2 linked regions of the Rattus norvegicus genome follow. The main gene of each other region encodes a partner of the protein of the gene in region 2 in a complex. Links are inferred from orthologs where the notes say so. Each region holds a gene or a part of one and is shown on either strand. Other genes may lie near its edges.

The links.
Region 1: Piga (region 2) and Pigy share a complex: the UniProt entries of both Homo sapiens proteins name them as parts of the glycosylphosphatidylinositol-N-acetylglucosaminyltransferase (GPI-GnT) complex. The link is inferred for Rattus norvegicus from reciprocal best matches to the Homo sapiens genes PIGA and PIGY.

The regions. Positions count from the first base shown.
Region 1 is NC_086026.1:28,965,113-28,968,387, reverse strand, and holds Pigy (phosphatidylinositol N-acetylglucosaminyltransferase subunit Y), read right to left. Parts: upstream 1,964-3,275; 5' UTR 1,689-1,963; coding exon 1,473-1,688; 3' UTR 512-1,472; downstream 1-511. Other genes in the region: uncharacterized protein Pigyl1, read right to left, coding at 2,275-2,913, 3,149-3,275. UniProt on the Homo sapiens protein: Part of the glycosylphosphatidylinositol-N-acetylglucosaminyltransferase (GPI-GnT) complex that catalyzes the transfer of N-acetylglucosamine from UDP-N-acetylglucosamine to phosphatidylinositol and participates in the first step of GPI biosynthesis.
Region 2 is NC_086039.1:33,681,083-33,684,898, forward strand, and holds part of Piga (phosphatidylinositol N-acetylglucosaminyltransferase subunit A), read right to left. Parts: intron 3,749-3,816; 5' UTR 3,687-3,748; coding exon 2,969-3,686; coding exon of another isoform or gene 2,751-2,968; exon of another isoform or gene 581-2,750; coding exon of another isoform or gene 538-580; exon of another isoform or gene 1-537. UniProt on the Homo sapiens protein: Catalytic subunit of the glycosylphosphatidylinositol-N-acetylglucosaminyltransferase (GPI-GnT) complex that catalyzes the transfer of N-acetylglucosamine from UDP-N-acetylglucosamine to phosphatidylinositol and participates in the first step of GPI biosynthesis.

The sequences.
Region 1 (3,275 bases), on a different chromosome or scaffold from region 2:
GAGAACAGGTGTCGTGGTTGAGTAAGAAGAGCCCCCATAGGCTCATGTATCTGCATGCCTGATCTAGCTCTGCTTTGAGTGAAATTTCCTTGCAACTTTGAAAATCTGTATATGGGCCTTTATTCCTTGAATAAGAATCCAAGAACCAGAAAACACCAACACTGACCTTGCTCACCTGACACTGAAAAAATGATGGTAGGGGCTGGAGAGATGGCTCAGTGGTTAAGAGCACTGGCTGCTCTTCCAGAGGTCCTGAGTTCAATTCCCAGCAACCACATGGTGGCTCACAACCATCTGTAATGGGACCCAATGCCCTCTTCTGGTGTGTCTGAAGACAGCTAGAGTGTACTCATATAAATAAATGTAAAAGAGGGGTTGGGGATTTAGCTCAGTGGTAGAGCGCTTGCCTAGCAAGTGCAAGGCCCTGGGTTCGGTCCCCAGCTCTGAAAAAAAAGAAAAGAAAAAAAATAAATGTAAAAGAAAAAACAATGAAGGTAAGTTTATAGTCAGATTTTTTTCCCTCTTAAAAATAAATTTATTAATGTGTGTGAATGAATAGACATGTCACAGGTGTGCAGGTACCCAGAGTCCAGCAGAGGGAGTCAGAGCCTCTGGAACTGGAAATACAGGCAGTTGTGAGCCACCAACCTACGGACCACTCAGCTCCTCAAAGGAGTCATCCCTGAGCACTGGATTTTCTTCAGCACCCACACAGTAGTTCCCAACCATCTGAAACCCTTGTCTCAGCAGATCCAACACCTCACCACTGACCTTGAAGCTGAAACAAAATCCCAAATTATTATTTTTACAGTCTCGTTGTGCTGGCCCAAACTCAAGAGATCCACCTCTGTCTCCCGAGTGCTGGGAGTAAAGGTGAGTGCCACCACTGCTCGGCTTCCAAATGACGGACTTTTAAATGAATGGACTCAAAACAACAACAACAACAACACAGTCCTCAGGGTGGTTGGCTGGCAGAGTGCCGACTTAGCGTTCACGACCTGGGTTCTGCCAGACCACATAAACACATGCGGCAATGCTTGCCTATAACTTCAGCACTCAGGAGGTAGAGACAGGAAGGTAAGGAGGTCAAGGTCTGCCTCTCACAGTTTGAGGTTAGCCAGAACTAAGGGAAGGGAGGAAACAGGCAGGTGGAGAGATGCTCAGGGGTTAAGGACATGAACTTGCTTGCCCTTGCAGAGGATCTGAGTAAAGCTCCGGCAGTCTTACAGTTGCTCGTACCTCCAACCCTCGTGTGGCCTCTTTGGGGACCCACACTCATATCCACATAATTAAGAATAAATCTTAGAAAAAACAGTCTTCGGATGAAGACCGGTCATGTTCCTCTCCCTTGGGACATATTTATTGTAAGTGTTTTTCAGCTACAGCACTAACAGGAGAATCTGCAACACCTGAGGGCAGAACCCAACAACCAGGAGCCTCTTGCCCCGTGCACAAGCGGGGCCTCAGCTACCCTAGTTATGTCTGAAGAGCTTCAGGCCCATCCAAGTCCACAGGTGGAAGAACACGTACACCGGTACGGTGACCGGCAGAAGCAAACTGTAGAAGCACAGGCTGCTGGCGCTGGTACAGCCCTCTGGGAAGTTTTCTTCCACAGAGGCGGAGTAGAACAGGCCCGCCAGGGAGATGAGCGGGATGAGGACAGTCAGGGTGGGCAGAGACAGGATCATCCTCCTCCCTTCTGAAGGTATACAGTTCAAGAAAACTCGGTTGTTTTCAAAGTTATGTTCTTGTGCTGGTGCACTCCTGTCTTATCTTCCCTTTCTCTGGACTCCTCTTTCATCCAGGCATGCTTCCCAAGAGCACACAAAAACTTCAGCGGTCCCAGGCTGAGGGTGACGGCTCCTCAGCCTCGTTCTGATCCAATCCACCACCACACGAAGCGGTTACCAGCGACTGCAGACAACACACGTGTCCCTCGCAGCGCTGGCTAAAGGATTCCTTACTGTATGAGAAAAGTGCAAGATGACAAGATGAGGGGAAGGGAAAGGAAAAGAAGGGGAAACAGCCTGTACAGTACTGAGCAGGTTAAAGGCAGGAGGATTGCTGTCACTTGCAGTCTGGCCTCAAACATTGGGATCCTCTTGCATCAGTCTTCCCAAGCCACCACGCCCGACTAGAAAACAAACCTTCAAAACACTCAAGTGTCATCCATTTCTTTGGGAACTAAGAAATTCGAAAAGCAGAATGAAGGACAGGTGGACTGATAGTGTTTTCTCGAACCGAGGAAGCGGAATGAGACCTACAAATCCAGATTCACTTCAGACACCTGAGTGGAGGCTTCCCGTACGACGAGGACCGGCTGGGGACCAGCACCGGAACCCGGAGCCTCGTCACGAGCCGCCCGTCGTCAATGCACAGAGTGAAGACAGCGCCAGCCCTGGGCCCAGTCGCCTCGGGGACGCGAAGGGGCACCCGGGTCCCGCTGCAGTCTCTGGCTGACCGAGGGTAGCGATGGCCGGGTCGGAGAGAACCGAGCCAAGCCGGAGAGAACCGAGCCAAGCCGGAGAGAACCGGACCAAGCCGAACAGGGCAGAGGAGAACCCGGCCGAATCGAAAGTGAACCAGCCAGCCAAGCGGAACCGGAGGCGTCCGTGGCGCAGACGCCTTGCTAGCGCGAGTCCTGTCCCAGCCGGTTCCAACAGCTCCTCCGCCCGTATCGGATCTCGAGACCCTGAACTCACCATTCACTGGCCTGTAAATGTCCGGGTCCCGGCTGCGCCTGGCTGTGACCGTCACCGCTCTACGAAGGCGGAGCACCCGGGCCAGCCGCCCAATCAAATCCCTGAGGGGGCGGGGTAAGAAACCCAGATCCCGCGAGGGAGCCGATCCGCGCGTGCTCATTGGACAGCGCACCACGCCTTCGCTCCGGCGCTCAGGCTCCGCCCCCGTAGTCTTGAGTGACGGGTGAAGCCAGAGGGGTGCTGAGAGGACCCTGATTGATAAGGACCTCCCTGCCCCGGACCCCACGGCCTCCGGCTGGGCGTCCTGTGTGCCAGGACTGCTGGACCTTGGAGAGGAACGTATTTGCCGCAGAGTGTGTTCACGGCGTTCCAGAGCAGACCGGTGTCTTTCTGCGCTGAAAAGCTTTCCCCATTTCTAACTGATAAACTTGAAGCCTGAATCAAACTTGGTCGCAGCCACCATCACCCAGCCTCTGAAGCAGCGGGGAACGAGTCCGATCCGTCGTTTTACGTTTGAATTGGTGAATGTCAAAATAGTAGTTTGGGCCGATGAGAGGGCTCAGCGAGTACGGG
Region 2 (3,816 bases):
CCACTTAATATTTAGCTTCCTACTCCTCCCACTTTCCTCCTTTAAAGGAAAACATCAAGTGTCCATTCTTCATAAAAAAAATGAAGCAGTCATAGCTACATTTACTAAACTCTTAGTTCATTTACAACCTACTACAAATGCACTAGGTCATTTAATCCTGACTAAAACCTTATAGGAAACTAAGCCAGTCAGTCCCATTAATGTTATAGTTACTATATATTCTAGTAGTACAGAAGGTTTTCTCTCCTTACTATAAAATATAAACCAACAAGCTTCCTGAGGTAAGATTCTAAAAAAGACTCAAAACACGACACACAAAGAGACTGCCAATCACATTCACATAAACCTGACAAAAACCACTTCTGAATCAAATTGACTTTAACTCACAGTCTTCACCATGTTCTAAAGAATGTTCAGATATGTTCTAAGATACCAATGGCCAGACTGAGGGTAGGGACAGAAAGAGACCTTAACTCAAGCGCTGAACTCTTATTTGTGATCTGTTACTTACTGTGTGACCTTGGGCGAGTTACTTACCCTCTCTGGGACTGTTTCTTTGTCTGTTACATGCAGGTAACATCTACCCTACAGTTGTTGGGGCAAGTGAGGTACTGTACCATGCACAGGCTTTAGCAACTGCAGAATACAAATGTTAAGTTGTCATTACCACTAGAGCAAGTATCTGGGGTGGCCTGCACCCACAGAGAACAGTGGGAAGCCACAACTACATGGAAAGAACAAGGCTCAGAAGCCAGCCTTTTCTCCACGAAAGCTGGGCAAGGAGAACACAGCTTTATCCTCTTAATCTACGTCAATGGGCCTTGCAAATCTGGGCCACTGAACGTCTCCCAAGGGAATTACCCTATTAAGAAGAACAGACCATTAATATAACTAGTCATATTTGGGCCATAGATGTGGCATTCCTCCTTGTGTTACATTTTACAGGGTACCTGGCCTTTGGAGAAGGTTCAGTAGATATTTATTGAGTAACTGAACTGAAATCAGGAAAGGGCCAGGCAGTAGTGGCACAGGCCTTCAATCCCAGCACTTGGGAGGCAGAGGAGGTTGGAGCTTTTTAAGTTCGAGGCCAGCCTGGACTATAGAGTGAGTTCCAAGACAGCCAGGGCTACACAGAGAAACCCTGCCTTGAGAAAGCGAAGAAAGCAAAGAAAGAGAACAGAAGAAAGCAAGAAAGAAGCAAGCAAGAAAGGCAGGCAAAAGAAAAAAAGAGGAAAGGCCGTAACTTTGATGTTAGCTCCGACAGTTAGAACTCCTGAGATAACAGAGGCTGTTTAACCTTTGTATGAGTAAATGTGCTCTCTCCAATCACACACACCATCATTCTTTTGCCTTTATCTCACCAAGCTAAGCTATTTAATTACAAAATAAGTTGGGCAAGATTTTAAAGTTATAATAAAAACATCAACAATATCCCGGCAGGGGTTTAAAATACAGAACTCCATTCATATCATCTTGATAAAATACAAAGACACAATTTCCTTCACCTCAGAATATGTAACTGAGTCCAAGTTTTCTAACCAACCTCCACTTACTTAATTACTTAAAACCTCTACCTAGACTGGCCATTGCCGACTCCTGAATATATTGCCATGTGGCCCAGCATACCCTCTTGGCATTTCTGCACAAATTCATCGGATGCCCACTTTCCTTATGACTGTATTGAATAATTAAATAGTGCATAAGCTGACAAATTTCTATGGAAGCTAAATAGCTTGAAAAGCCAATAAATGAATATCAGGGAAAAAAATGTCCTTGTCAGGTGAGAGGTAATCTAAACTGGAATAAAACTGAAAGCAAATTAAAAAACCAGGACATTGTTCCCAACACTTTAGCCCCACTCCCATCCCTTTAAAGGAAACCCAGAGTGGCAACGGTATGCTCTATGAAGGCAACCATGCAATATGACCTAGGCAGTCAGTGAGCTAATCCCAAGACCTAGAGCTCTAAACTAAGGTCCCTACATTCAGCGTGTGCACAAATGTTTAAAAATCAAATAGTTAAGGGGACTATGTAGTATTTGTTACTGCCCTCCCCAACTTCAAACGATATTTCTGATTATTGGACAGCTTTTTTTTCAACTAGCATCTGGGAGACCATTTCTATGTTAATAAGCAGGTTGTTTCAAATGTGTAACAAACACAAATGCTACAGTGGGGACCATTAGGGCCACAGAAACTTGAAAGTCAGCAAGGAGAACAAAATACTCCTGAGGGATAAAGGCGGACTGGGGTGGAAAGTAACCTAGGCAGAGATCTTTTTAAGAGCTGTCTCTGAACCTTCACAAAGTTCCTGCTGTGACAAATAAAAAACCGACACAGATCTATTGAGTAACCTGTCCTAGATGGGCGATGAACCAGGTTTTGACTCTAGGCCACTCTACTCCTTTCTATCACTTGACTGCTGATATTAGTGCCTTGCATATCGTAGATAAAACCAGCAAGCCACGGGATATCCATGGGGCCAAAAGGCCCACTGATTCTGAACACCAGGTACAGGTGCACAAAAGACAAAAGTCAGCCATGAAAATAGTCATTAGGGCCATCTCTGAATGAAATCGTCACAGATGTGCTTTGCAAATGCCTGCAATAAGAAGCCATTACTTCTGTGATCAAACAAGAAAAGGCCACACAGCACATTCTTACCTGCACAGAGATCTCTGAATTTTTACAAAGATCTGATTGGAGGACATCTGGTCAATGGCTTTCTTTTGTTCGGTAACCATTACAACCTCAAAGGTTGGGGCAGCATTTATAGCCGCTTTTATCCATTTCTCTTCTTAGATGTATAAACTGATTATCTGACCTTCCCTTGCAAGAATTACCAGTCATTATAAAGCCACCATACAGAATAAAAAGACAAGTAATCATCACATACAAGTATTGAACAGTTTCTGACAAGAAATTTAAAAAAAAAGCTGTCAATGCAAATAAAGCTACTATGTTATTACCTTTTCTGTAAACAAGTCTGCTGACAACAACAACAGTTATTACACTATCATGCCTCCTAAATGGTTCTGGAGTGAAGTCAGTAGGATCTACAGCGTTAGGAATGACGGACACTATTTCAGGATTCAGTGCTGCTCTGAGTACAGTGTTCTCCTTACTAGTGTAAGAGACACAAATGATGTGGTTTGTGTCACAAAGAGACACAGTAAGAAGCTTGTTTGTAAGCACCGAGCTGACATCAGCAAATCCAAAAAGGGAATGGTCTGTGAAGACTGTCTGAAGCCCCATTGTCTTGGCGTGGAAGAGAGCATCATGGGCCATGGCAGAGAAAGAACTGTGGGAATGGATTATCGTAATTCTCTCCCGAACAAATATGTACCTGAGCAATGGCAGACTGTGAAAGAGAGTCGTGGCTGTAGATTGGTTGTACATGACTCTCAGAGGCAAATAGTAAACTTTGAGGCCATTGGTGAGGTAACGGACGCCCTTTCGATTTCCATAAGCATGGGTGACAGTTATGACTTTGTGCCCCCTCTCAATGAGGCACTGAGAGAGCTGGTAAATGTGGCTTTCCACACCTCCCATGTTTGGGTAGAAAAAGTCAGACACCATGCATATATTATGAGTGCAGGTCCTATCAGTGGAAAGACTTCCGGAGCTACCGGGGGAAGGAGACACTGAAGGAGGCTGGCCTTGCCCACCTCCTCTTCTATTGGCCATGCTGAGGTGGTTCACGCATCAGTTCTCAGAGCAAGCCTGTTAAGAAATGTGTCTTCTGTCACCTGAAAGAGAAAAGCAGGACATCAGCTCAAAACCTAATCTCATTTCATATCTCATATCCTGTTAGAAA